Styela clava: one gene and its partner. The protein of the gene in region 1 interacts with the protein of each later gene in a pairwise test. Links are inferred from orthologs where the notes say so. Each region holds a gene or a part of one and is shown in the gene's direction. Other genes may lie near its edges.

Evidence for each region.
Region 2: the proteins of kinesin heavy chain-like (region 1) and kinesin light chain 1-like interact in binary tests that used the Drosophila melanogaster proteins (3 or more experiments, as listed by UniProt). The link is inferred for Styela clava from reciprocal best matches to the Drosophila melanogaster genes Khc and Klc.

The regions. Positions count from the first base shown.
Region 1 is NC_135262.1:2,468,768-2,484,406, forward strand, and holds the start of kinesin heavy chain-like, read left to right. Parts: upstream 1-7,651; 5' UTR 7,652-7,785; coding exon 7,786-7,830; intron 7,831-10,580; coding exon 10,581-10,682; intron 10,683-15,639. Other genes in the region: uncharacterized protein LOC120332555, read right to left, coding at 778-2,079. UniProt on the Drosophila melanogaster protein: Kinesin is a microtubule-associated force-producing protein that may play a role in organelle transport. Milt and Miro form an essential protein complex that links Khc to mitochondria for light chain-independent, anterograde transport of mitochondria.
Region 2 is NC_135255.1:2,451,796-2,468,049, forward strand, and holds the start of kinesin light chain 1-like, read left to right. Parts: upstream 1-7,834; 5' UTR 7,835-7,941; coding exon 7,942-8,120; intron 8,121-8,263; coding exon 8,264-8,387; intron 8,388-8,634; coding exon 8,635-8,784; intron 8,785-9,211; coding exon 9,212-9,298; intron 9,299-11,957; coding exon 11,958-12,112; intron 12,113-12,574; coding exon 12,575-12,736; intron 12,737-12,919; coding exon 12,920-13,007; intron 13,008-13,117; coding exon 13,118-13,219; intron 13,220-13,762; coding exon 13,763-13,936; intron 13,937-14,281; coding exon 14,282-14,411; intron 14,412-14,865; coding exon 14,866-14,959; intron 14,960-15,407; coding exon 15,408-15,419; intron 15,420-15,973; coding exon 15,974-16,082; intron 16,083-16,254. UniProt on the Drosophila melanogaster protein: Kinesin is a microtubule-associated force-producing protein that may play a role in organelle transport. The light chain may function in coupling of cargo to the heavy chain or in the modulation of its ATPase activity.

The DNA.
Region 1 (15,639 bases):
GACAATTTATACAAAAAACAAAATTGCTCTTAAAACAAATTTGCTGAAAAAGGGGTACTTCCGTAGTGTGTGTACTAGGTTAGGTTTAGGCCATAATTTTATTCCGATTTTCCTTATTTTAATTTTATTACAAGTTCGGGGACTGTCTGTGTTAGCCAAGTGAATATATCCCCTGCCCATAGGTTTCGGTCCCTTTACACAAGTTGATGTAACGTAGGCGAACAAAATTAGTTTCCCTCCATATTGGTACACATACAAGCAAGAAATACAATTAAAAATAAATAAAGAGGTCTGAATATTCTGTTGGAACATTTCAATTTGAGAATATTACTCATAGATTTGAAAAATAAATACAGTGAAATATATTTATGTCCAAGAAAATTTATACAAAATAACCCTAAATCAAATATTGTTCAAAAAAGTAGATTGAAAAAGTAACAAGGCACAAATGAACAATTGATTATATCTATAAAAGCAAGAAATAGAATTAAAACATTTTGTAGGAATAATTAGATTTGAGAATATTACTCATTAATTTTAATAAAAATACAGTGGAAAATGGTGATGTCCAAAGCAATTTGGGGAACTGCTGATGTAAAATATCTCATGAAAAAACAAAATATTATTTGGGTGATTTCCTATTATAAGTAACAATATTATTACACTTGTACTTGTCACTAATAGTCTTATTTCCAACCGTCGGCCATTTTGTGTACATTTTTTTTGATTATAAGAATATTATCATCCACTAGATGTCCTTCTATTTCTAAAATTAAATCATTTCATCGACTGGAGAGATCTTGTCATATCTAGTTCAGTGTGCGCTCTGGATACATCGGTTTGTAGGGTGTGAACATGGGTTTGTAAACGCTGAACTTCCGATTCTTTTTGATCTAGAGAACGCTGTATATTCGCAACATGTTCCACAAGTAACTGCTTGTCATGACGAAGTTGTGTATTTTCAGTGTCGACTCTAGCGAACCGTGACTCCAGTTCAGTCAAGCGTGAACGAACTGTCTCTCCTTGAAAGTTGGTGTGTGACATGTTATCTTGCATTTTCAGAATTTGGTTTTCTAACTCTCGACATCGCTGTTTCTGAATCTCAATCATATCGAGTAGTTTTCTCGACTCTAGCGATTTGACCTCATCTTGACCTTTTAGATACGCAATTTGAGATGTATGTGACATAGCTCTTGTTTCTCTTTCTCCGCGAAGGATTCTTTCGCGGTCCAGTTGTTTCGACAACTCCAAAATTTGACTTTGAACTGCGGTGTTTTCTTGAGTCAATTTCGAGACATCTCCGAGTAGTTTGTCTTTTAGAATTCTTTCTTGGGAAAACGCGAGCTCTTTTTCTCGTACTTGTTGCCTAAGCCCTCGAATTTCTGTCTGCAGGTCACGAGTGATTTGTTCTTGCATTGTAGCCGTTTGTTGGAAATGTCGCTCTTCGCTTGCATGCATGTCAGATTGTAAGCGTAGATTTTCCTCTCGTTTCCCTTCGAGAAGTAAAGCGGTTTCAGTGTGTTGAGTGATTCTTTGGTCAAGTTGAGATTGTACGAGAGCTAAGTTGTGTTGAGTGTGTCGTAAATCTGAATTTGTGCGGTCTAATTCTTGTCGTAAATTTACAATTTCAGAATCTTTTCGAGCTATATCTCGATCAGCAACGTCTTTAAGCTTTTTAAGTTGGATAATTTCTTCTCGGAGCATTCCTCTATCAACGTCAAACGTTGTTACTTTCGCTCGGAGTTCTTGATCAAGACGATTCTTTTCATTTGTGAGCATTGAGATTGAAGCGTCCTTTCTTGAAACTTCGATTTTGAGATCATTCGTTTCGCTGTGTCGTTCCTTGAGCTGAGTCATCATTTGATCAGCTTCTTTGACTAATTTTGGTTGAATATCGGTCGCTTTTTTCGCTTGATCTCGTAGATATGTCGTTTCTAACTCAAGGAAGTAGATTTGTTGTTGCAGATTTTTGATGTACTCTGATTCGACCTCTTTTAGAGTGCTACTCTTTCCTGGCGAGTATGCTGGCGGATAAACCGCCTTTTTCTTTTTATTTTCGGACCCTTTTTTATTCGGCATTTTGTGCTTTTTTAAGACAAATTAAAGAAGATATATATAGGCTGAAATTAAATAATATATTGTTGGTAATCAGATTTGGAATTCCACAATTTAAATGACATTATTTTCATTTATTGCAGTATTATGCTCCATTTTCAGACAGTGTCTCATTGCTATCTTTGGCATAGGATCTTAGTCCCAGGGAGAGAAACGCTGCTAAGATGGCCTAACATATGGCAACCATGCTCTCTTGTATGATTACCGGTGCATTTTGCGTATGGAAATAGTTACCCAGTTAACTTGTTTCAGATGAATGAACTTGTACGAATGCTAACCTTTCGCTAATACTTGGAATGGTATAAATTATTTGGAAGTAACCAATTTTCCATTATCAGTGAAGCTTAAAATTCTCAGTAGTTGATTGCAACTATTTGGGCTAGTGCTTCATTGAGAACAAGGAGCAATGTGGAACAAGCCTATGCTTCCGAAAACCAATAATTGGCTAACTAATACCATACCCAACATGTACCGGTACTGGTAACCGGACGAGAGGCAGTGGTTTGCCATATATTTAAGCCGGCGTATCACTTTCCTCTCCCTTGGGATAAATATGTAAATCCTATCCTACTGTATCCTAACTGTGAGGCTTTGAGTGAGTGGCTCCACATAAATACATCTGTCTCAGTAAAACCACTTCCAATCTCTGAAACCCCAGACCAATTTAGATTACTGCAATAAACAACAAGACACAGAGCGAATCTCCCTGCTTTTTGTTTGCGCTACATCTTTTTACAGTTATTGGCAGTTCATGATATCAATGCCAGGACACCGGTAACCAAGTAAATTGTACCGGTACCTTGTAAAAAGTACAACAGCCCAATAGTTTATTACTATCATGTATACATACATTTGTTTGTTAAGTTTGGCCCAAGCCTCATTTAATTGGGCTTGTATTTTTGTGGGCAGGCACATGAGATACTTCTCATTGTTTTATAAACTTTTTTATAGGTTTTGCTTGCCCTCCAGAATTCTCCATATTTAATTTATGTTTGTTATGGAGTTTTCGAAATAAACTATCTATCTATTTTCCTAATGCTTTAATTTGCAAATTTACATTGCATATAATATTTGTACATAACTTGCGATTAGCTAAAACTACAAATAACCTAACGGTCTTCTCTAAATAACATAATCATTATCACAATAATGTTCCAAATTAATCAAATTATCGCGTCTGAATTATTTAATTTGATTACAAAGTTATCGCTATCTCAAATGTTTGCAGAAGAAGCGCGTCATCAAAACGTCGTTATGGCAACTGATCACTCACTTTGATTGATCTTGAGTGACACCTCGCGAATGAATAAATTCGTAAATTAGTTCGTAGTGTTTGGAGTCGCCTAAATTGTTTCACGGATAAAACCGGAGTGGAGGCTTGACCATACAGCTCGCCCGCCGGCACGGTTTCTTTCCTACATCCTCGACGACCAAAAAAATGGCTGCTTAATCTTTGACGCCCGTTAAAAAAAAAAGGGAAAATAGTTTTTTTTTCGCCGGTCTTGGTGTGGCATCTTGATTTTCGCGGGCCTGTTTGCTCCCTTGGGTCAGCCAGAGCTGTCTTTCCGCTTCCTTGTTGGCATTAAGCAAGCATTGTTTTCTTTTTCCTACATCCAAATCTCGGGCATAGGATGAAGATGCTCTTTTACTTTCTCCTCCTTGTCTTGGACCTGCTCTTCTGGCACTCTTTGCCTGACTCACTCACACCTGCGTTGTTTTTTCTGTTTTCCTGTATTTTCTTCGGCTTTTCGCCTGATCCTTTCTCGCTTATCTTATTTTATTGTCCTGCTTTTGCTATTGGCGGTATGCCCTTCTTTCGGCTTTCCTCCCGTTCCCAGCCTTTTCTTTTTCCTCTTTTCCCAGTCTTTAGCTATCCTCTGCCTACTACACATGGGGATCCGCCTTTGCCTGCTCTGGTAGCCTTTTCTTTTTCCTCTTATTTTCTTTTTCCTTTCTTTTTTCCCAGTCTTTAGCTATCCTCTGCCTACACATAGGGGTCTTCTCTTTGGATCCGCCTTTGCCTGCTCTGGTGGTCGCACCGGCCTTCCGCTTCATCCGTCTGTCTGTTGTCCGTTGTCCTCATTTCTGACTGGTCTATTTCACTTGACTGCCTGCTCCTGGCGGTTCTCCCTTTTATCTCCTCCTCGCAGAGTTAGCCCAGGCTCTTCTTTTTTCACGCATGACTCATCTGCCTTAGTGATTCCACTCCAATCTGCGTTACTGTCTTCTCATGGCCTTCCCGTCTAATCTGCACGTCCGCTTTCCTTCCTTGTTCATCTCACTTGCCCGCCTGCTCTTGGCGGTCCTACCTTATGCCTGCCTTCCTCGCCTACTGTCTCTACCTAACCCACACACGGTTCTTTCCCATAGCTCCGTCTATCTCGTGGGATTCGAACCCACGCTTATACCTGGCCCAAGGTGTAACCATGTCTCTACGCTTCCCCTGCGCCACCGATACCGACGAAGACCGTTGGATCAGAATCTTACCTAATTAACAGATTTTAATCAACGTCACGCTTGGCAACCCCAGACTAATTATCTCAAATTACTGGACTCGGCAGTTGGCGAAGGGTGCAAAGCGTTAGATCACGGTTACCCGGCGCCGGATCGCAGGTTCGAATCCAATGAGGGACAATTATGTGCGAGAGGATTGCTAAACGCAAGCGCTGGTCAGCTAAGACTCCCTCGACCATAAAGTCCATCCACGAAACAAACAACTGGTAAACTATACTTATGTATACTACGCATGAACTGGTCATCGGACGACATAATTTTGTGCGCGATGTGGTTGGCCGTAACATCGGCCTGTTTCTCCACGGGATAAATTCCTATCCTGACTTATGCAATAGCGTATCAGCTTGCAGCATTGGAAGGCTGGAAGCCTGTGCATTTATGTCTGAATGGAAACTGTTGGCAACCGGATTTTAATACTTGACATAATCAATTTTGATTATCATATTGTGGCCACTCTGAAAAAAAAAAAAAACGGACAAACAAAATGTAGAGGACCTGGACGGCGAGCAGTCATAAGAACACAATAAAATAAAGACACGATATAAAATCGGGTAATACCTTTTAAATCAATTTAGGATGTGAGACACTGATCGAAAGGAGATCATGGCAATACTTTATACACACTAGAATTCAAAAAAGAAAAATGTGGTTGCGGTTCTTATATCGTGCAATATTTTTTTAATGGAGAAATCTAATATTACATTTGTATTGACTATTGGTAGTGGTATTATATTGGTATTTTCAAATTTGTGGAAATTCCATAGAGCTGGCGATGTTTTTCACTTATATTCTATGTCGCAAGGTGTTTTGAAAACTTTCCGAAATTTCCGTTTTGTGTGTTATCCCTATTCTATGGACGTTTCCCCGACCCTTGACCCCTGGAAAAAATATTATCAAAAAGATACAATGTTTACAACCATGCTTGAATATCTATAAACTCCAATTGTTACGTCATTGTTAACTTATTGCTGATTTGTTATTGTTACGGAAATAAACAAACAAGTTGCTGCACGGGGAAACATCCTGTCATAGCAGAGTTTATGAGATTTTTTTCATCCATCTGCATAACCACAAACTATCGTTTGGCTTCAAGTCCGTGTTCGAGACTACATATTTTATTGAATGAAAAGGTACATGGTGGCTAAACAACACGAGAACATCATCTATACTAATTGTTTTATTTAATTTATTTTATTTTTTCACTATTTGTATACTTTCCTCTTGAACATAAAATGTTAAAGGTCGTTTAATACTTTTTAAAAGGTCAAACAAATCGGGTCATCTCGGCACGATGACGTCATCCCCAGACAGAACGATCGATGTGAAAGCTTTGAGACAGCAGGTGTCGAGGGGTGGCGGTTTGTGATTTTTAGTTATTCGAGGGTTTGCAGTTGCCTCGACAAGGCTATTTCGGTTTGTAATTTTAGGTTTCGTTATTTTTACGTTTGGCTGTGTGCCTATTCCATTAATGAGTTGATAGACTTAGTTTTAATGCAGAACCAAGTGGAATCTCAGCCGTATTGTTTCTGCCATTCTGAGCTGATTGTCCTGTTGACCGTGACAGCTTGACAAAATACCTACCGGTAGTACCGGTATTAAGTTTTACTAGTTTGCTTAAGCAACTGATTATGTATAATAGTCTGTTGCAATATAATAGTAATATTACAAATCAAAGTAGTTAAATCTTGCAGATCGTCTCTTTTCCTGTTATTCAGTTATTGCGAAAGACTGAAAGAGGGATGGGCCTAAATAAATCTCATTCCAGTATTCTATTTGAACTATCTGTGGAATAAAAAATAGCAACAAAATAATTGGGAGTTTGCAAATGGATTTGCTTGGGTTGCATTGCTCATCAAAAACAGTCACTACAGCACTAGGGTGGCTTACCCACTTTCTGACTTTGCGCCCAAGACCTAATTGCGGCCATCAACTTCGACTATCTAATTAATGTCGAAAATTTATCGAATTGTGACGATATTTCTCACACGTTACCGTCCACTTGTCCCTCGTAGCTCTGCGAAATTACACTAAAATGCGGTCACAAACAAAAAAGTTACAACCGAAAACCTGACCGAGGAAAAGAAACGGACCATTTTTTCATGTCGCCAACTACCCATTGTCCCATCAAAAAAACTTGAAAATTCATACAAATATAAGAGATAGAGTTGTGTTTCTTTCAACCATCTTTAAATTTTCGCGTTTTTACGTTGTAAAGGAGGGGGAATAGGGGGTGCGCATTTCCAATACGTCGATAATATCTTTGCCGACCAATTTGTGACCACCGTGCTTTTGTCTGTTTGATTGCTGTGATGCGGTGCTTTGTATATAATTTGACGAGTTTTGTTCGAAATGACTGTGTTCTTAAAATATATGACGGTCAGAAATGCAATTAGAAGCCCATTTTTTCATGCATGGCTGCGTATGCCCTAGTCTTGACACAGCAGAAACGATGTTTAAAGCTTGAAATCTGTGGTCGCACACTGGTTGTTCGGTCGCAAATATGTCTTCCGAGTGTCGTACTTTGGTGGTTTGTATAGCTTTATCCCCTGGTTGTAGAAAGGTAATTCGAGGTTTAGCATGTAGAATAAATGCCAATGCACCTACGGTGAACGGGTTCGAAATATTGGTTTTTGTTTTATAGCGGTTTGAATGGAATCGTCAGCAGACTGGCAACACCACCCTACATTTTGAAGTTTTCTTTCAGGAGGAGGTTGATTTAACTGGGTTAATTCATATTGCTGTATTGTTGGATGCAGAACGGAACAGAGCTAGAGAACATTTTTTTGCTAGCTTCACAGAAATCATGGAATATATTTTATGATCATTATATTCTTTTTACTTCAATGTGTACTGTATTTCGTGCTATTTTTCTTCTGTTTCACGCTTTATTCAGTAAGTAGTAAGACCCCAATCATAGTGATGCATCACCTTTGAAAAACCTTTAGAACACTTGTGCACACTGAAAGTTGCTATTGCTATGATCATTCACAAATTTAAAAATATTTTCTTGTTCTACAGGGATTTATTAGTAGTAATATCTCACTTGGTTAGGTATTCTTTGATCAAATACATATGAATATTTAGAAGAAAATATTCCAACGTTCATTTGGAGAATTGGATTATAAACTGCTGAACTGTTTGGCGTCTTGATTCAAGATGACTGACGCAGGAGAGGCTTCATCGGCAGAATGCAGCATAAAGGTATTGTGTATGTTTATTGACGTTGGTTAGTATCACACAGCCCAATAGCCATTTACGAAGGCCATTTAAATGACGCTTAGAACATTATATCTTTCCCTAATATGATGTCCATATGGGGGAAACCATTAATGTACAGATTAGAACCATATTATCTCCATCTTTACTCCTAACCTTCTGTCCACGTGCCATGTATGGAGAAACCGATCAAATGATGATTGACAACTTTGATAAGATAGATAATTTGTCTTAACTTTGCCATTGTTCCAAACAGTAAATTATGATATACAAGACGAACACACAGCACAGATATTCAGGAAAGAAGATAAAACTTCAAGTTGAGTTAAGAAAAAAATGAGAGTACTACATGGTTAATTTATTGTGACATAGACTATAAATTCAGAAATGTACCACTTTCGACAGAGAAGAGTAAGCAATACAAATAGTAATTGGTACTATTATATACCCATTCTTATTCCTAACCTGATGTATATATGGTAGGTCAATAGACCTCTGCAGAGAATGCCATTTGAATGATGATTAGGACCACATTGGGGCTGGGCATTTTGAATCGAATATTCGAATCGAATAGTAAATTATTCGAATCGGTTCAGAGCTAAATTTCGAATCGCCGCCATCTTGTTTTTATCTTTCCGCTAATGGTCGAGGTGAATTCCCTAATTTTTCTTTTATTAGAGTCATATTTTTTCAACGGAATTCTAACATACGACTATTTTCTGTAGTGAGTTATTGATAAAACGTGTTTGTTATTCTGTGTGAACGCTCAGTAATCTATCTGAGTGAATCATTCTATGTCTTCGGTAATTCAATTGTTGAGAGGACCAATTACTATAATAAAGTCGCTTACAATTATATATTTCCAAGTATTCGAGATTCGATTCGAGAAAATTATTCGATTCGATTCTGAAATCACAAGGTACTCGAAAATGCCCAGCCCTAGACCACATTTCCATTTTTACCTTGCTATCTATCTTGCAGCTCAGTAGCCCTCTAGTGTAAAGCACATTTATTCGAATAGCGATTAAGACTATAGTTCCACCCCTATTCCTAACTTGCTGTCTATATGATAGCCCAGCAGCTCTCTACTGAAGAGAACATTCGAATGGTGACTGGGACCTTATATCCATCCCCATTCTTAACTTGTCTATATGCAGGGTTGCCATCTACCCAGAGCCAAAAATAAGCACGGGCGTCAAAATGGTATTTTTCAAGGGGAGGGGTCTTAACAACGGCAGAATAAGAATGAGAAGGAGATCATACACGAGTCTCCCACTTTTTATCATTAGAAGTCGCTTCGAACATGGTTGTACGCAGCTCCAAAATTGCAAAAAGCAATGGAAAGACACGGAGTCACTGCCACACGCTATCTCTAAGACAAGGGTCGGCAACCAAGTGTTACGAATCTTGGCGGGCGGCACATATTTTTTCCAGAAAGCTAAAAACTGAACGGGTGACTGATGAACCACATTATTTATACAGATTAGAAATTCAAATTTTGCACTTTAATAGCGACTTTGGTTTCCCGCAATGCGGTAGTATTGTGGGCACCGATTACTGTTTTCCACCTTTCTCGATGTCGCAATAGCAGTAGTTAATAGAAAATTTCTTTTCATGTTCGAAACAGAACTCATGGTCACGCTTACTCTAAATTGCAGTTAGTCCCTAAAAACAGTATTCCTAAAAACTAGCATCAACTATTGTGTGTGTCACAGTTTGCCTGGAAATACCGCAAACCCCACCGTTGAAAAAAGTTCGTCTGTCGTTTCCACGCAAGCTTTGTACACAAAACAAGTACTGGTCACCCACGTTTCTAACACCAAATAAGCACGCAACTCAAAAATAAGCACTTTTCTTAGAAATAAACACATAGTTACTTTATAAGACGCAGGCTAGAGAATAAGCATAAATCTTATAAATAAGCACGATATGGCAACCCTGTCTATATGGCAGCCCAAAACACCTGAAATGAGACCTCTAAAGAGAATGCTATTTAAATGGCGATTTGGACCATATCTCCTAACCAGCTCATCTCTATGGAATCCCAATAGTCCTCCTCCACCAAGATTGTCATTTAAATAGGGACCAATTATCTATTTTTATCCAACTATTTATATGACAGCCCAATAGACCCAAAAAAACAGGCTTTCAAATTATGATTGAATCTATATATCCAGCTTCATTACTAACCTAATTTTGGCTTGAACGAATTAAAGGAGAGTTGCAAGCTTTCATTGAAATACTGAATTTGTGTTAAAAATTTCTGATGTGGGAAGTTTAGATGTTTCAAATTAACATTTTGATTTAAAATATTCAACCACCTTTCATATAGAAGTATCGATAAAAAAGTTTGGCATAATCTATCACTGCTATTTCTAGACAACTTTTTGATTACTGCTATTAAACTAAAACTCTAAGTGAGGGAAAGTATAATTAGGGTATTTGATCCATACTTGAATCCGAAACAATACTAAAAACTGACAATGTTAACAACGATGCCAAAAATTTGTCTGAAAGACCAGCAATAGCCTACTCAACAACTGATAAAATTTTCCATTGTTATGTCACTTTTTGCATGTTACTGATTAGTTAATGTTACGGAAGTAAATAAGGATGTGCTTCGGGAAAAAAGGTCATGGTTCGTTATTCCTGTGCTGCGACAGAAAACCATTTTTTGATGTGAGACCTGTGGACGAAAATCTATAAAATAAGCGTACTTCTATATTTTTTTTCAGGTAATGTGTCGGTTTCGGCCGCTCAATCCATCAGAAAAGACAAGAGGGGATCAATTCTTGGCAAAGTTTCCTTCTGCTGAGCAAGTTACCTTTGGAAGCCCGGTATGAGAAATGTTTTTTCACTTTTTCCACATTAAAAATCTATGCCAATTTCAATTTAATTGAGTTATCGTATAATATAAAGTGGAATATTGTGCTCAAAGTTGGCCAAAACTGAATACATTTAAAATTATATTTTGAATATGAGGTATCAGGGAAGTAAAAGTTCTTACCATACAGTGTATATTCAATATTTTGAATTCAAAAAGACGTTTATTAAAAAATATCGAATATATTCTAATTTGAGTCTTGCTCATTGAAAAGGCAAATAAAATTGTTTGTCTCGGGTGTGCACAAAAGTGAAATAGACAGTTATTTGATAGGTTTCTGATATTTTATAATTTGAGAAATCTCACTAATTAAATGAAAGGGTTTCTGTTTCTACTGTTTTTTTATATTGATTATTTTTAACTTGCCTGTTGTATGCAACCCAATTTACTTTATGTATAGTGTGGACATGGTCGCCTAGTGCAGGGCTACTCAACTGGCGTACCCCGGTCCGAATCTGAACCGCATCTCAATCTTTATTTTGAATCATTAGCCTGATTTTTAACGTTTCATTTTATAAAATGACTTATTGTTTTGAATATATATGAAAAGAACTATAACACCATAATAAACAATCTTGATTAGCTGATAATCATTGACCGGTCGAGGAAGTGGGCGTTAATAAAGGATGCCGAAATATAATTTCTGGAAACACCGGACCCAAATAATTTTGTAGTTTTGTATGCGGATCTTCGGTAAATACAGTTGGGTGCTCCCGAAGTATGCGAACCAAGATGGCGGACATCGGAACGTAACAGGTTAGGGTTAGGCGATAATATTTTTCCAATTTTCCTTATTTTAGTCCTATTATCAGTTTGAAGATTAGCCAAGAGCCTCCCGTAGTATTTATACCTAAAATTATGGCTTAACCCTAACCTAGTACACATATTACATTCCGATGTCCGCCATCTTGGTTCGCATACTTCGGGAGCCCCTATAGTTGAGTAGCCCTGGCCTAGTGGTTACCAGTAAATATGATTACATATTTCGGGATCAATGTCCATGCCATGCCCGCCACTTCACCCTGGATAGAATGAATTATGTAGCCGATGTCAAACTGAAAACATTTCGTTCTTCCCAAACTACAGCGACAGTATGGCTGCCTTGTACATAGAAAAGTTTTATAAATACTTCATAGGAAAAATTTATGATATTCAAAATATTATTCCAGAATGTATTCGTAATAGTAAAAAGAATAGAATCTTTTTGGTCATCCTTGCTCGCAATTGAACTTTTCACAATGTACGTCAATGTTGTTTATGTTTTTGAGTTATATTACCATAAAAAAGTGATTTTCTCCTATGGATTATTTCATCATTGAAATTATTTCACATGGTTGTCATTGCCGCACTGACGATTATTCGATTTAGACTTTGCCTTTGGGGCTCTCTGTGTTTGGAAATACTAAACTTGTAAGAGGATTTCCAATATGACTTGAAATATATATTTGACATAGTAAATTCATTATTTGGTAAGGACTAATTTGAAAATGTGGCAATTGAAGTCTAATAAGTAGTTTTTATACTAAAAATACATATTGTATGAATAAAATAATGAAAAAAAAGGCCTTTCAAGGTGAAAAGAAACAAAACAGACAAAGTAACACTATTTTTCTGCCTCGACTTATCAGGTGGTAATATTGAAAAACCCTGATTTTTAGCACTAAAAATTGATCTAGACTCATTAGCCAGAAAATACGGTATTTTAGAATGTATTTGAAATAGTACATTATTTGGTTTGACCGATTCTTGCGTAAAAATTCAATTTGGTCCCATGTTTAGAACTACATAATTGAGCAAAATTTGTGTATATTTTATAAATGTAATGTAATGTCCACTACCTATAAATTGAAAGTCTCACGTTGTGACCAAAAACCTGAATAGGTTACATATTATTTGGTAAACAAACTCAATTTGCAATATATATAAAATATAATATAATTCAAGTCAACAACATTATTTTAAAATGTATTTGGAATATTAAATGATTTTGTTTTATCCATCTTTGCTCCAAAAATCCATTTGGTCCCATATCAGCATAGGGAACTATTATTTCAGAAATGGACTTTTTAAAAATGGAAATGGACTTCAGACTCGTTAAACCTACTGTCACTATAGATCAGCGGCTTCCAATGGGGACACTATGCTAGGCGCAAAACTTATTTTACTTTCCCCTTACAAGAAAACTCGGTTCTTTCTAATTTCATTGCTTGATGAGGTTATTTCACAAGATGTTATCACTATATTGAGCATGAATTGTTTGAACATAACAGGATTTGGAATCTAGGAATCAAAATAACACAATAAATATAAACAGGAGTTAAAATTCTCCAGAAGGGGACTATTTGTTTATTGGTGTAAATTGATGTTTTATTGAACACAAACAATACTTAACATAAACAGATCAGTTGTCACCACAAATAACAGAATATAAAGTTAGACGTAAGACACATGTTGCCTCTGCTACGCCAAAGTACTAAATGACCTCTGGAGACCAGCATGGCAGTATTTATACCCAGGAAGCATGCTTCAGTGGTTTTACCCACAATGCTCTACCATTGTGCTGTGCTGTCATTGGTCAGTTGAAGAGTGAGAATAGAATTGAAGTACAGTTATCTCAGGATGACAATCACCTGGATAAAATGTAAATGAGAACACACAAGTTAACACCAAGGGCCGTCTTTTGGTCAGCGTTTCCAATCTGTACTCGTTTTAGTTTTGATTCTAGGTTAGTGTGTTATGTTCATAACAAAAATTTGATTTCTTCAAATGTAAACGTAAGCTACTTTGTGAAATCATGTGAGCAAAATTCTTTGAGGAATACTTCATAAATAGTATGTAATGTCCACTAATTTTCATTTTATTTACCCATTCTTGCTTCAAACATCTGTTTGGTCCCATATATAGGGCCTTATAAGTTGAGGAGAGCTTGTGGCTACAGGTCCTATTATTGTCATAGCACTGCATAATATGTTTTGAATCTATTTTCAGATTTTTATAAAAAAACGCAATCTGAAAATCCACTGTGGAATGTCAGCGCATAAATACTTTGTAATGTCCACTACTTAACATTTTATACCGGTATAATTCACGTAGAAAGAATCACAGCCTCGAGGCAAAAGTTATGTTGTGATATATCGATGACCTTAAAAGATGTCATTTGATCAACTTGGGTAGTGCATTATCGTCTCTTATCTGGTGCTTTATGTCAGTCACATTACGGCTAGGAATGCTGGTAAATGAATAGTAATATGGGTATGCTGTAGAACAGTGGTTCCAAACTGTATTGATCTGTGGCCTCCTTCCAAAGACTTTTATTAATACTTGTGCCCCCTGTATTCCTAAATTCAAAAATTTAATATTTCGAATTTTTTTCAAATATTCATTCAATTTGGACATTCCTGATGACAAGCCAATAAGTTTTATCGGCTCTGATCTGGTGCTGTATGTCAGTCACATTATGGTTAGGAATTTTGATATGTAAATAGCTTGAATGTACCTAAGTTGTTTTTATGCTCTGTAATCATTTACAATGCAAATTATGATTTACCGGTAAGATGATTCTGGAAAATTCAAAACTATCAATGTTATTTCATAATCAATCATTCAAGCACGGGGATGATAGAAACATGAATATTTTTTACCAAACATACATTGCTTGTAGGAAAAATATGGAGTATTTCAAATTTTACTCAAAATTTACGCAAAATTAGACACATTCGATGATTTCCTTGGGAAATATGTGCATTCAGAACAGTGTTTTCATTCCCAAACCACGGCTGTGGGCCAAATGCGGCCCAAGCAACGGTTTAATATGGCCCGCCGAACTTGAATGAAATAGGTAAACACTTTATGTTTTTACCTTTTTGCATTCTAGATACTGCCAATTGTTATGTTATTATCATAGTTTGAGCATGTGTATATTCGTACGGTAAGTCGTAACAATTCAATCTTATCGATAGCTTAATTCTACGTATTGGTACCAACCTATACCAGTTGGGGCACTCTTTCTCTCAGCTCGAGAGTATCCTCTCACTTCTAATTTTGGCCCCCAGTTAATTAACTGATTTAGAATCTCCCGAATCTAAATGAATTTTAAAATAGAATTCAAAATCCCTCATTAATCTTAATAATGCAAATAGCAAGTAGTTGGTATGTCATAAAAAATAGAAGCAATTATTAAATTATGCATTCAAGGAATTTAAACCTCCGTAAAAGACATTTACCAGCTGGTATATAATGACCCAATAGAACTTCATTTAATTCATTTATTGTAATCACAAACATTTTTCTTTTGTCTTTAAGAATTTCTTAGACATCTGGATATTTATTGCATTTCGCCTGGGGGCGTGAAACTGAAAAATTCAAACTTGAGGTCACTAATCTGCTTAAAATTTTGGAATTTTATTTCTAGTAAAAGTTTTTAAATTATGTACGATACTTTTTGGATGTGATTTCATCTGTTTACTGTCTGAATATTTTATAAATTAGTGGTTTCTAACTGTGAGTTTGTGGCCCCCCTGAGGGGACACAGAGCAGTTTAAGAGGGGCCCCGATACAAGGCACCGAATTGATTTTAATGCGATTTTGTCTGCTTGAAATTTTGGTACTTTTATTTCTAGTAAAAGTTTTCAAATTATGTACGATACTTTTTGGATGTGATTTCATCTGTTTACTGTCTGAATATCTTATAAATCAGTGGTTTCCAACTGGGAGTTTGTGCTCCCCCCGAGGGGGCACAGAGCAGTTTAAGAGGGGCCCCGATACAAGACACCGAATTGATTTTAATGCGATTTTGTCTGCTTGAAATTTTGGTACTTTTATTTCTAGTAAAAGTTTTCAAATTATGTACAATACCATCTGTTTACTAAGCATCTTATAAATCAGTGGTTGCCAATTGGAGGTTCGTGGAC
Region 2 (16,254 bases), on another chromosome or scaffold:
GATGTTTCAGGCAAACAAAATACAAATTCAATAAGTTTCTGCAAATTCAAAATACTAATATTTTTGCGTGAAAAATTCTTGAACCTTTCTATCCACTTATCCTCAACGGGCAAAGTAAGCCAAATTGCATTTGATCTATGCTCGGATAAATATTTCTTTATCCATCGCTTGCGATGGAATAAACACACTTTCCATTTTTTATGCTTCACCTCAGGCAAAATATCTGCAACATCTACAGCATTAGTATTATCTTTTTCCAAAATGAGAACAATTTTGAAGTAGGTGAGCTGGCCAAGGACAAATTTCAAGTAAAGTTCGTACGCTGGATCGTCGAAACATTTTTGTATAAGAGTCGGGCATCCTTCTTGAGAATTGAAATAACTTTTCAAGCCTTCAATTTCCGTTATCCTCTGCAGAGCAGGTAATAATGAGAGCAACCGAGTGTTGCCATGCTGCAATAGCCGTTGATATTCAATATCAACAAAGTCGCAGAATGATTTCAGTTCTGTTACTCGGACAGTGTAAATGTAAAAATATTTATAAATTTCTACGGCAGACTTTCTACACACACAGGCAAAGTATCTACGGCATGTTGAATGCAGTTATGAACTACATGAGCCGCACATCCTATACCGGTTATATATTTTTCTTTTTGGGCTTTCTTTTAGTTTGAAATAAACAATATTTGTACCGCGTCTTTTTACGCCTCCGAAGTAGGTGTTGCAGTTATCCGCACAGAATCCAACAACTCTTCCTTTTAAATGTTTTTGATCGAGAACAGAGAGCAAGTATTCAGTAAAAGTTTTGGCGGTTTCCCCGGGTAGAGATTTGAATTCTAATATTTTTTTTCACACCAACATCAGTTAAAAAATAACGAACCACAACTGGAACAAGCTTTAAATCTTTTCTGCTTAATGCATCGATGGTTACTGATACGAGTTCAGAGGATAGCAGTGGAGCAATGCAATTAACAATCACCGACTCGCATTTAGTTCTGACTAATGCAAATTTAGGCTAAGAAAAATTTGAAATTAATTTAGAGGTGCAGTAAAAACTTTGGCCATGAACAGCAGTATGATAGGCAACTGTGGCCTCTTTGGCTGCAAAACAAAGAATCTTTCGAATTTGTTATCGCAAAGAAGTTGGTCAGTCGAGCCGCTTTGGAGATGATCGTTGACAGCTGAACGACCGCCATGACTAATAGAAAAAACAGATCTACAATGAGTACAAAGTGTTTTTCCTCCTTCAGTTTGCTTCAAATAAGGAAAATCTCTCTTCAACGCATTGGAAAATTTGCACTTTCTTTTTGTCATTTCGACAACTTAACGTCAGAGCAGTTAACATCAGGTGACGCATTAAAACATATCACAATTGTGACATAACAATAGACAAATTTCTCTCTCTCTCTCTCTCTCCCTCTCTGAACATGTAAAGTGTGTCGCAAATCAGTGGTAAGTGGGCTGTCTTCAATAAAAAAATAAAAATTTATAATAATATTGAATATAAACCTTTACCCATGGCAGCCGAGCTGCCAAACCGGGACATTTGAGTCTACCGGCCGGGACGCCGGGACAGCTTGTTAAAACCGGGACTGTCCCCGCTAAACCGGGACGTATGGTAAGCCTACCTTTAATATATATATGATGCTGGTTGTCGTTCAGAATTAATTATTTGCTGTCATTTACGGTAATATGAATCTGGAAACAGAGATATTTGAGACAGTAAATGCTGGAATATACACAATTTTTGCTAAATAACGTGATTAGAATTTAATTTCAGGCTTTATAGTCATGCAATTTAATATTAAAACTTAATGTTATTGAACTAATAAAATTTGACTCAAACTTGAATTATATATATATACCTTTTCAGGGAAATTTGCTTGAAGAGAGGTCGCGCGATAACTGAAATGCGAAGAATTGTTGAAATGTGTCAGAAAATGAAGATTGTTTTGAGACTTCAAAATGGGAAAAACACGTAGGGGAAGGTGGGGCACGTTGGGACATGGGGCACAGTGGAAAATCAGCTCTCACACTAATACTATATTCGGAATCCGGTTCGCGGTTTGATGTTTCAATCCGCCCTTCGGTGAGTTACAACGTCCCCGCAAACCGACAGCGGACGGGTAGAGCGACGCAAGCTATGAGGTGAAATTGGTTTTGGGGAGTTGAAACTAAAATTTCATCGTTCCAGTTTTTTCTTTTTTCTAACTTAGCCTTTTCAACGTGACAAACCACCGTTTGATATCTTTAAGCTATAGTCCACTGTGAAATATTTATAACGTTGGCGAGTGGATGTGCCTTCCGAATTTCGCCGTGAGATGATCTGAAGATATTTGTTGATTATGGGGAACAATGGACCGGAGTTCAGTGGGACATGCTCTACATGGCACAATTCGACAGTGTTTGATACAACAAGTGCTTAGAGACCTATAGATGCGTTATATTTTTATGTAACATTATGGTATCTTTCGACTCATGGTCCAATATGAAATATATTCGAGAATCAAAAATATTTCCAGATTTAGATTCGAATTAGAAAATGATTTGATTTGTAAGCGAATTTTTTGGTGGAATATCTGAAATATTTCGGTTGAACATTGATTTTAAAAATCTTAAATCTTCAAATTTGAGGTCTCCCTGTTCTTTAGACGATTATGCTGATTGATTGCTTATTTTTAAGGGCATACTTCCTTGAATTTTAACAGAATGACCCATTGTGCCCCACAAGTGGGGTACCGTGGGACACTTGACAAACGTTTTTCAAAGCATTTTGGTGGTAAGATGTGTGTCGCAAGGGAATTTCTTAGTCGCTGAATAAAATATACATTTACCCCTCTCTGCAATAATCCCGCAAAGTCATATGAATGTGCAGAATAAAGGGCTCAGAATATGAAAAAGAAAAAAAGTGTCCCAACCTTCCCCTACGAGTTGTAAATTCCACATAACAAGTTTTTGGAATCCATTTGGACATTTTAAAATCCGACAAGGCTTTTTTGGCAGGAGAGTGAAAAACACATCTACTTGATGAAGATTCTTTCCCAGAAATTTCGATAATGCAATTATTTCACCTTCAAGCCTTTCTTCATAGTAAAGATCAAATGTAAGCAACCACAAAAGAGGAGAGGATGCTGATTGCTGATGTATATTGATCTAGCATTTGAATCGAAGTAAAGGATTGAGCAGTACTTTTCACTTGATATTTATTTATGAACTTTTTGAAAACCATTAAATCAACGGCATGAAAACTTGAAATGCAGAAGCACAATAAAATGGAAAAAGAATTATGAACAATTTCAATTATTGAAATATTTTTGATTGGCATCTTTAATATTTATAGCTTTGAGATGCGCCCCTTTTCCCATCGATATCTTGAAAACATATACTACTTGCAAATTGTTGGGTAATATTTTCTATCTCCTAGTAATTGAGAACGTGGGAAAACAATCTTCTAAAGCAGGGATCACCAACCCGTTGCCCGCGGCACCAAGTCGCCCGCATGGACCATATTATGTTGAAATAGTATATCACATTTTTGCAGATGTTCACGATTAGACTGCAGATAATTACAGCAGAACCCGCCCATGCTCGAGCACATACAACAGTCATCATAGTTGCTTTGTAATTGTTCATGGATCAATTGGTTGAAATACAATACCACTTTTCTTAAGAAGACTTGTATCTGAATGCTGGGAACTTCTCATTCTCATTTATAAAAAGTTACGGACAGAAGTTTCATTTGATTGAAATAGCAAGCACATCACCAAAGAACACCATAAGCAGAAGATCTGTATCTGATTTCTTGGAACCTCTCATTCCCAATTACGAAAAGTCACAATCAGCAGTTTATGGTCAAATATAGAATTTTGCTATGCTATCCTTGATCTAATTACACCCTAGCACAGATAGAAGACATTGCTTCACTCACATATCAGCATATAGATTATGCGAATGCCCTTCGATTCTTTTTCTCAGGTGAAAATGACAAAATCACTGTAGCCTACTACCTTAATTTCTTATAACAATTCACCCATTTTACACCCCTGGGAATAGTAATCATTCTTGTTATGGGTGCCATCCCCAGGTAAGAATATTCAATGGAATTTATTCACTTTGTGTTGAGATATAATTTGTTAAAAATATGCGTAAATACAAGAACACAATAGTAGTAGATTTCCTCTGTTACTAATACATTTTAGCTGTCTTCAAGGTTCCAGGCAAGAGTGGAAAATTGAAAGGTTGCTAGCTAATAGTTCAGTATTTCCTAAAGATTTTACTTAATTGGTTATGGTTCTCTCATTTTTAACATCTGTAAGAGCTTCTTTGACATCACAAACTCCTTGCTTAAACAATTTCAGTAGAAACACGACAGAGAAATGCTAGTACAGAAGTTTGTAATTGTGAACTTGTTATATCATACAGTAGTCTGATTAAACCTCTTTACCGTCCCAGTATGTGCCTCGCAGAAGCATGTTTTCTGAGATATTCTTCAGTAGTTGGCTTGATATTTCAATCAATGTACAGCAACTTTGGTGATTAGGTTGTAAGAGCTCGGGCATGAAGGTCTTCTTCATTTGTAAGTTTTTAAATTGTGAACATCTGAAACAGCAATTGATATACTTACTCTGTAATTGTTTGTAAGCACAATTTTTATCCATGCATATCGGTAGCCTGATAGTGTTATTACTTATAAACAATAATGAAAACGCATCGAATCTCAATTTATAACTTAAAAAAAGAATACTCTTCTTGTAGCATATTTTATGAGCTACCTGTATCAATATTATCCGAGTTATTGATCTGAAGAACAACATGGCATCTCGAGACGGTACATCGTACACGTGCACGTTTTTTTTTACTAAAATATCATAACGCATCTGAATACAGTATTTCTATGAATCCAGCAACGAAACACCATTACATTGCGTTTTAACATTGCGCGGCGGTGTGGCTCAACGGGCTAGGCGTTAGGAATACGCTCGCCACCGCACCTCTAAATACTCTGCGTGGGTTCGCAGGTTCGAATCCCATGCAGGGATGGTTATGTGCAAGAGGATTGCTGGACTCCTCGCCGTCGTTGGGTGGTTCACGTAACCGCTGGTCGGTTACGGCTTCCTCCACTATCAAGTCTAGCTTCCGAAAACAAACAATATAATTAATCCCATACCCGACTTGGAATGGTAACCGGACGAGAGGCCGTGGCTCGCCATATGGATAAGCCGTCTCATCGGCTTTCCTCTCACACGGGATAAATATGTAAATTATATCCTATCCTATTCACAAGAAATACTGCAAGTCAGGCCTGGACGCGTTAACGTACAGAGCAAGGAATCGCAGGCGTCACCTCTTTTTGCATCGACGAATGCGAAAGTTACAACAAGTCAAAGGTTATGAATGTCGTTTTTTGTCCTGTCTAAAAAGTCAAAAGCTGGACAAATCCGGCACTTTTTGGCAGACTAGCAATACTTCTGTACATGCATCTTTTGCCATTGCTTTGTATGTGGAAAAGGTTAAAGAGGCACATACGATTGGAGAAACCCCCCTGATAGCATATCAAACAAAGAAACGAGTTTCGCTGTCCAACGACATAATAAAATTCAGAATCAATGAAATGTCTGACAATATTAAGAGCAAGGTAATATCAAAGATTGACTCCTCTTCTGTTTTTGCCCTTAAACTGGACTACTACTACATTTCTACTTGTGTATGCCAGATATGTTGATGGTGAAATGATTACTAAAGAATTTCTCGTCTGCCAACCTTTGGAAAGAACATCAAAGGCAGTGGATGCTTTTTAAGTATTAGTTGATTTTTTAACAATATTGGTTTAAGTTGGAGTAAGCCTGTTGGCGCTTCTGCCATGATTAGGATTGGTTTCCCTCATAAAGCAGAAAAATCCAGTAATTTAAAGAAATTATTACATGATTCACTCAACGGCGCTTGTCTCCAAAACCATTCCGAGGAGACTTTACGAGCATTTGTCTGACGTAATTAGAGTGACGTAAATAATTACGTGAAAAGTTTAGCGCTCAGCACTAGACTCTTACGCAAGGTTTGTAAAGATATAGGTGGATAGGATTCACATATTTATCGCAGGGGAGAGGAAGGCCGATTAGACGGCTTAATCATATAGCGAACCACGACCTCTCGTCCAGTTACCAGTTATTTGTTTTCGGAAGCATGGATTTGATTTTCCTACACTTGCCGATGCCGATCATACTACACTTTTATATCATACGCAAGTACGTTGGCTCTAAAAGGAAAACATGCTCCCCATGTTTTCGAATGAAAGAAGAAGTGATGTTATTTTTGGTTGCGCAACAAAAAGAATTGGTCAACTCTAGGGTTCAGTTCACGGAAAATCTCTATCAATCTCATTTCTTCGGCAATACAGCTTTCACGAAAGTATGCACACATTTGTGTGAACAGAACATGGTGATATTTTTAAATGGGCGTTTCCCCGACCATAATTTAAGTATAGTCTATCGCAAGGTTTGTGGGATCAATTTTGGATTATTGCAACTAAACTAAAGGTCCTCAGAAGACATAATGACAACTAAGGTATTTAATCAGAAACTACTTTTTGTAAACACATCTGAAAACTGACAAATAACACACAAAATCACGAAAACGTGGCAATGTTTACAACAATACTGTACTTGGAAATCGGTCCGTGCGAAAGAAGTGTCTGGCTGCATAGATTGCGATTGTTACGTTATTGTGTACTTACTCATTGCTGATTGAGCCTTTTCATGGACATAAACAAGGGAATCGACGCTAGGGGAAGATTCCGATCGGTTGATCATGTGACGTCATCGCATAGTCCACCAGCTGGCCGGCTGTCATGAGGATTTTATATTATTCCAAAATCCAAACCAAATTTCGTTTATTATGACGGCGTGTTTTTTAGAACGCCCGAACGTTGCTTGAAATGAATATGCTTTGGCTCCATTCGGCTTGAGAATTTTCTGGTTAGTACCAATGTGAAAATGTGGTTGTTCCTCTCGTAATAAACCTGTAAACTTATACCGGTACCGTAACTTCAGAACTTACAAGACTGCAAGAGCTGAAGATAGAGAGATTTATTGTTTCAAGCAATTGTACCACACAATAAAAAAATATCCAAGTCAATTGGGTATAGACAGGAGGGAGCGGTACGAGCATTGCTCACTACAGCATTAACTGAATAAGGGCAGGAGGGATAAATTTTTTGAATGTTTTGGTAATGTCAATTTGTACGGTACCTACTGCAGTACTGACTGACTGACCTAGGCTAGACGCGGCGGTGTGGCTCAACGGGCTAAGCATTAGGAATACGCTCGCCACCGCACCTCTAATTACTCTGCGTGGGTTCGCAGGTTCGAATCCCATGCAGGGATGGTTATGTCTGTATGTGCGAGAGGATTGCTGGACTCCTCGCCGTCGTTGGGTGGTTCACGTAACCGCTGGTCGGTTACGGCTTCCTCCACCACCAAGTCCATGCTTCCGAAAAACAAACAATACAGTAAAACTAATCCCATACCCGACTTGGAATGCTAACCGGACGAGAGGCCGTGGTTCGCCATATGGATAAGCTGTCTTATCGACTTTCCTCTCCCCCGGGATAAATATGTTAATCCTATCCTATCCTTCTAAAAGTCTGTATACTCTGATACTGGTATACCGGGCATTACCGGTATTCAGTTATTACGTCATTGAAAGTAGGTAGCCTACCGGTATAGACGTAGATACTACCGTACCAGGTATAAAAATATTTTAGAATTAGGTAGACTACCCCAATTGATTCTCCATTTTTCAGTTCTTTATTTTTCTGTATTTGGTCAAAGATATGTTCAATTTATTCAGTTATTACGGTACTGTATTAACAGATTAGACCAATAATCTAATTTCTAAATTGTGACCAATTTATCATCGATGTGATACTTTTTGGTGAATTATCAACATGTCTGGAGGAACAATGGTCATGCAGGATGACCCTGCTGTCAATTTAAGCAATGATGGATTAAATTCCACACAAAATGGTGAAGTAAAAATGTCACAAGATGTTATTCTACAGAATACAAGAAATGTTATACAAGGCTTGGATCAATTGAGAACCGAGCATAATTCTATATTACACAGGTAAGCTGTATTTCTTTTCTTGGTTAATTAATGTCATGTCTGCTACAAATATTAAAATATCATACTTGTATCAAATGTTATATCTTTATATATTATTTATAATGACTAATTTTTTATTTTTCCTACAAATTGAATATTTTTAGTCTTCTTGCGACATTGAATGCAATAAGAAGAGAAAATGACAAAGATGTAAATCTTGTTGAAGAAAAATCACATATTATAAAAAAGTCATTGGAAATGATTGAGCTTGGTTTGGGAGAAGCAGAAGTATGTTTTTATGTTCTTTCTATTATCATCCTTTAGTTTTTACATTTTTACATATTTCACATATTTTCTGCAGTTGACTTTAAATTTTGAATCATTACACTTTCCTGTAATTATATCAAATTTTTAGAAAAAATATACCTTTTGTTTGTTTAGATTTGAAAAAAAAAATAAAACATCTCAACATAGACATTTTTTTTATTCGCGTAACAAAATTCAGGAAACTATGTAAACTTCAAATTATTTGTAGATGATTGTATCATTGGCTTGTCATTTAAATACTGTGGAATCGGAAAAACAGAAACTGAAAGCACAAGTACGTCGTCTATGTCAAGAGAATGCATGGTTGCGGGATGAACTTGCAAACACCCAACAAAAGTTACAACTGTCCGAGCAGAAGGTGAGGGTAGAAAGATATTAGAAGTTGAGATTCTTAAACATAGTTTACAGCAGGGATGTCCAAAACGAATTGATGAAAAATATTTCTGGTGTTTAAAAAAAGAAATTTGTTCGCCCTTCAAAAAGAATGTTTATCTCAAACATTCTGCTTTACCAAATTTAATTTTGATAACTTTTCTGTTTAACATGCCACATTTCAGGATATTTTAATTTTTGTATACTAAAATATTGTTTCCACAAGTATTTGTAATATTAATTATCCTGTTTCTGCCATCAGTATGAAATTAGTATTTACTAGACTTCTATTAGGCACAGCCTGCACAGTAATGGTGGTTATTTTTTTGCTTGCTGATTTACTGCAAGCAGTAGTTTACAAGTTCAGTTTTATCAAATGAAAACCTCCAAGAATAACTATTATTTATTTTCAGACTGTACAATTGGAAGAAGAGAAAAAGCATCTTGAATTTATGAATTCAGTGAAAAAATATGATTCTGACACAACAAACACTCAAGGAGTAAGTTATCAAACAAATTCTATCTCACATCTTAATCCTTGTTTCTGCAGATATCTTCATGAAAATGAAGGATTTACCATTCAACCCTGCTTAGGTTAACTTTATTAATTTAATTGGCACGAAGTGTGTTTATGGATCATTTTGCCAAATTATTGTTGTTGAGATTGGACCAATCAATATCAAATTTTAGCATGTAAATATGGAAGAAAAAACTAGTAGGCTATTACGTTTATTTTTTTTCAAATATACTCTGAGTATTTGCAATACTCTGTAAGTTAATATTTTATATTATTGATCTTTGCTTCACAGAATAAGAATTGAATGTAGAAAATTGATTATTCTTATCTCGTTAGTATTGAGCTTACTTCATGCTTGATCACTATTGAAATCGTACTTCTAATATTTGGTCACAAAGTGGATGCATCTTTCTTGGCAAAAAATCTATTTTTTTATGTGCACTATAATTCTTGCCAAGCATGGTCCAAAAATAAATTATACTTATTCATACGATTTATCTTAGTTTAATGTCAGATATACTCTTAGAATGATGAAATCAATAATTGAAGTCTTCATTGTGCAAATCAATATTTTATGGTATAACTTATACATTATTCAGCAGGGAATTCTGTTCTCTACTCCCCTGGGCCATTTGCTGTGTAACTTTTGTCTATAAACTAGGAAAGCTTACTGGACAGCTGTAATATATTTATATATTTTTGCACATCATTGTTTATTAATATTATGGAGTTTACCACTATATTTTTCCAATTGTGCTGCAAATAGCATGATGTTGTTTTAATAATATTCATAACGATGGCTTCACTGCAACATTGTTACTGAGAACATTTTTACCTTTGAATCATGATTTCGATAATAATTTGCCGTAATAAAAATGCTCCTTTTTTGTTTGAAACTTGTTATAAGAATATTTTGAATCATTTTAAATGTGATTGTGATCTCTATGTTTATTAACTTGGTGATGAAGTTTGATACTTATATGTAAATTAAAAAGTCAACTTATTTAATATCTTAACTAACTATTATTGTAAACTAGGCAACAAAAGTTTCTATCCAATGATTTGCTGCTCTATTGCTTCTCATTTACGGTAGGTTTTTCCGCACAGAACCATAGCAAACATGGTTATCGAGCACATTGTAATGCAAATTACCAATTCATTTTATTGTATGAAAACACAAATAAAGCGTGGTAATCGTTTGAGTAATTGCAAGTTCAACAAATATTCAACAGTGGCCAAGCAAATATTGTTGACAACTTTTATCAAATTGTCAAATTGATATATAACTTTCAGGTTTCAAACAACAATTCATTACATTGATAACAGTGCTAAACAAACGGTTTCTGCTCTTTTTCATACTGATGTGTGGTTTTATTATTCTAATATCATAACATTACTTCAAATATTTATCGGTTTTATGACCTTATTGCAATTCAAATACCGATAGGTTCATTATTATACTTCATGTAAAAATCAAATCTTCTGAGCTATAAGTATTAATTAAACTCTTCAATTATACTAATTGATTACGAGCGGCTTTAGTATAAAATTATCTTATTTTAATTGTGTATATTTTAATATTATAATTACCATAGCCTGTAGTCTAATTACTGAAGGAGCATAGGTTCTTAATTAATGAAAGTCATTGATTAAATTAATTTACTACATCTATGTGAGTGAATAAAACTACTAATGTTGTGTTTGCTTGGTCACTCACACTCACTGTTTTAAAGCAATATGCAACCAACGTTGTCTGATTCCTTCTAATCTTGTATTTTTGATTCTATTCAACCTAAGTGCCTTCAAAATGCCGCAGTGTTTGTCAATAGATATTCGTAATAACCGGTAGTAGACTATCTGAATTCAATGGAAATTTTTTGTTCAACTTGATTTTCTATTTAATTTAACCAATTTTGTTAAAACCCCTCATCATAATATTACGTTTTGTGATGAGAAATGTGCACCATATATCAGGGCTACTCAACTGGCGGGCCGCGGTCCGAATCCGGACCTTTCGAGTATTGGATTTGGACCGCACCTAATTATTTATTTGGGATCATTAGCCCAACTTTTTGAATTTCCTATTATAAAATGACTTTCATAGTTTTGAATATATACGAAAAGAACTATAACACCATAATAAACAATTTTAATTTGCTACTAATCATTAGTCGGTCGAGGAAGTGCTCGTTTAAGGATGCCGAAATATCATTTCTGGAAAGACCGGACCCAAATGATTTTGAAGTTTTGTTTGCGGACCTTCGTTAAAAATAGTTGAGGTAGCCCTGCCATATACTGTTCTCAGTCATGCATAGTTAATGATTATTGAATTTTGTTTCAATAAAAGAGATAAAATCGTCTGGTACCAGTACATCTGTTGCTTTGTAGATTCATAACACTTATTCATACATATTGGGTAAATTTATTCCCTCAAGCTTCTATTATGAGTTGTGAATCTGAGTTCATTCTCATGTATGAGAGAGTTTATTATAACTGAAACTGAACGATTTTAGTTCGGTTATCTTGGAGTCATTGTGTCAAATCTATTCATTTCTCTAAATGAAAATATCATACAGATACAGATATATTCAGTCCTGATTCATGTATTGATATTTCATTACCACTTGAATAACACTTTGCAGGCTGACGACACACGTTCTGCTGGTGGAAGTATTGAAGATCTATTCAACGATACAACAGAGGCGGAAACAACAACATCAAGTGCAATACCACAAACACCACCTGGCCATAGTAGTGCTGCTTCTGTTGCTAGTGGTGGATATGAGATTCCTGCCAGGTAGTGTATAGTTAGTTTATATGTGATACTGAAATGAAGTTTTCTCTGTCAGAATTCTTCATATATTCAGATATTCTATGTTGGATTTTTTATATTTTGGAATTCTACTTTGTCTTTTAAAATGGGTACATTGGTGAAATAACAATTAAAAAAAAAAACATTGAAAGTTGAACGTTTATTTCTATTTTAAACAACTGATTTCGAGAGATTTCAACCCAAAAGGGTGAAATGTGGATAAAGCTATTTTGAGAGAATGTTGAAAACATACTTTTTTGATTCTTGAACTCATGTAACTTGAACTCATGTTTTTCTTGAAATACTTTGGTGATAATTGCTTTCAACAATCATTAGATAGGCTACTAGAGAAGCATTATTTTTGTTGATGTTCACATTTTCCAACAATAAGCCAAATTCTATGAATACATCCAAAATCAAATATTCATCAAAATTTTCTAATTTTAGACTTCGTACTCTTCACAATCTCGTCATCCAATATGCGAGTCAAGGTCGTTATGAGGTTGCTGTTCCGTTATGTAAGCAAGCTTTAGAAGATCTTGAAAAGACATCTGGACACGACCATCCTGATGTTGCTACTATGCTTAATATACTTGCACTTGTCTACAGGTTTGTTTACATTATTAAGATTTTCGTATTTTTATTTCTTTGCTACTTTATTACGGTTTCTATAATTTATTTTGGGTGATGTACTGAATGCTTGATGATAATTGAAATTTCTGGCCTGCATTTATTATCAAAAATTCATGACCTGTATTATAAAATTATTCAGAGCAATTTTTCTTGTTACAGAGATCAAAATAAATACAAAGAAGCAGGAAATCTACTGAACGATGCTCTTGCCATTCGCGAAAAAACACTTGGACCTGATCACCCTGCTGTAAGTCATTGAAACTTTTGTATAATGCTATTCCTTGGTGAATTGGTTTACAATTTATTCAGCTATACTTGAAATATGATGCCATGCCATAGGATGTGATAATTTTTCAGGTTGCTGCAACGCTCAATAATCTTGCTGTATTATATGGAAAACGTGGTAAATATAAAGAAGCTGAGCCACTGTGCAAAAGAGCTTTGGAAATTCGAGAAAAGGTGAATATTGATTTTGTCTTTTCATTTTATTTACAATTTCTGTAGCCTCTTTAGCCAATAGGTATTTGTTTCTTCCTGCAGTTCCGTTTCGTAGGATGTACCTTCATGTAAGCCTGTGTGATAATATAATTTTAATCATGGCATCATTGGTTACATTATAACTATATATGCAGAACGTATGGAGCATGAAGCCAGTTGCCAAATATGTGGGCCACATCTATTTAAGTTCATAAAAAATCAGGTCAACCGAACAAGCAATGACCAGTTTTCCAGGGTGTCCTTTTTATGCTATATGGTGCGTTTTTGTTCAATCATATCATGCCAAATGCGTAATACGGAATCTATATCCAGTTGGTAAACCAAAATACACATAATCTAGTACTTTCTCCACCACCAAAGCACCATGGAGAAACATGTTTCATAATTGACAACCATAAATAATATCTCAAACAATTAGCTCTTATAATAAATGTAAGCAGGAATCTTCGGGATCCGGATGCAGCAACCAAGCTTGATCTTGGTATAATTTTTTTCTTATCTCAGGTTTTGGGTAAAGATCATCCTGACGTTGCGAAACAACTAAATAATCTTGCACTTCTATGTCAAAATCAAAGTAAATATGAAGAAGTCGAGAAGTATTATCAGAGAGCTCTGAAAATTTATGAAACTAATTTGGGACCTGATGATCCAAATGTAGCTAAAACAAAAAATAATCTGGTGAGTTGATTCTTTATGATAATTTATCACCACAACAAATTGAAGTTGCAAAGATTTGATAATTTTTACTATTTAGACGGAAGCTATTTCGCATCGAATTTCTAGCCAGTGTCCAATATCTTTACTTCTGCAGGATTTTCTATTTGCTGGATTTTATTTACAGAATTTCAGTCATTAGGAAATAATTTGGATGTTTTAAATCAGCTATGTCTATTTCACAACACGCATTATTTTATGATCTCTAATGCCTCTATTGTTCACTAAAACTTCCTTACTTCAAATGTTTTGCATTTTATTTTGATCGAATTGACAAATATAATAATTAGTTTTATTTCTCAATTTCAGGCCGCAGCATACATGAAACAAAGTAAATTCAAACAAGCTGAAGCTCTTTATAAACAAGTCTTAACTCAAGCTCATGAGAAAGATTTTGGAAGTATTGACGAGAAGAATAAACCTATCTGGATGCATGCTGGTATGTCCATTCGTTTTCGGATATTTTTTTAATTACAACCAACAGTGGTTTGAATCCCAGTATCATAAATGACAGATTAGGAAGCAATAGATTTGTATTTGAAGAGAACAATAGCTGAATCATCGACAATTTTTATAGTCTGTAACATATCTTGAAGTCAGTTATTGGATACTCATTTGTTGGCGCTCCAGAAGTTTTGTGTGAAGTGGCTAAAACCTACGGGCAGGGGGTATATTCACCTGGCTAACACAGACAGTCCCAGAACTCGTAATCGTAATAGAACTAAAATAAGGAAAATCGGAACAAAATTATGGTCTAACCCTAACCTGGTACACACCCTACACACCTGGTACCCATTCGTCAGTGCTATCACTCCTGGAGTGTAAAATATTTATTTTCAAAATTCAGCTACCAAATAAGTATTTAAATCCACCAAATGAATTTTTTTGAACAGAGGAGAGAGAAGCCTCAGCATACAGTGGAAAGCACAAGGACAGTGCACCATACGGAGAATATGGCGGATGGTACAAAGCTGCAAAAGTTGACAGGTTGTGTTTTGGAATTTGATAGGCTAATTCTATTTATTTTGAACACATAGTATTTATATATAGGGCGATGATGTCTCTTTTTTCAAAAAATGAAATCTTGGGAAATTATAATGGCTGTTTCTGGAAACTAACTATTTTCGACTTAAAATCATAGTGTTTGTCTTATTTTAAAGTTATAAATAAAGTTACCGAAAATGAATTAATTGCACATTGAAATTTTGGTCTAGTCCAACCATTATCATACGCTTGGTATTTTGATTCAGGTTTGGTAAAATTATGAATTCTGTTGATAAAACGCAATGTTTTGTTAGAAATAATGAGATATAAAAAAAATGATATTTCTTTTGCTTGAGCATCCCTAGCTGTATATTTTGTTGTTATTCTGTTTGCTTCTTTGCTATTTACAAAATAATATAAGTAATTTTTTAATACACATGCTTACAAACAGTAATCTCGACAGGTATGATAATATATTGTTTGTGGGTTTTAACTTGGTCGCCTCGTACATGTGTTGTATGTATTCTAATGAAAGTTTTTTTTAAAAAGTTTTAGATTTTGGAAGTTATTTGCTACAGTAAAATGTGGAAACCCATTGATTTTGGTCGTTATTGATTAGCCCAGCAAATATTTAATTTGAGTAACAGACAGTTATTGCCATGACAATGGATGAAATTTAGGCAACAGTTTGATGTAGTGCCCATTTAATAAGTCATCACCATTCACCAATTTTACATTGTCTTTCATGGTCACAAATTTTTATATTTGTCATCGATTAATATATTTGCATGAACTGTTTGTCCCATTGTTTTTCTGTATTGCTGTCTATTCTGATATAATTTGGTATTAACAGGTCAAAGTCTCGTTAACGATTTGGAAGTTAGACTTTCTCATTAATAATGATATTTATTCGTCCTTTATCTGCATCATACAAATCATGAAGAAAACTTCGAAATGTAGTGAATAATAATGCTGCATATGGTTACATAAAATAATATTTTTGTTTTACTTTTTCAGTCCAACTGTGACAACCACTCTCAAGAATCTTGGTGCATTATACAGAAGACAAGGAAAATATGAGGCAGCTCAAACCTTGGAAAACTGTGCAATGAGATCAAGCAGACAGGTTTGTGAATAATTTGCCAATGCACTTAACTCTTCGTTTAGGATTTTGCTTAAGAAGTTGTGCTGTGCTGTGCTGACTGCGAAGTTAAAGTAATTAGTTCTAGTGCTTGGTACAGATGTTGAATCCCGATTGATTAGAAATAAGCTAATTGTTTTATTTTGTTTGCTTCGCG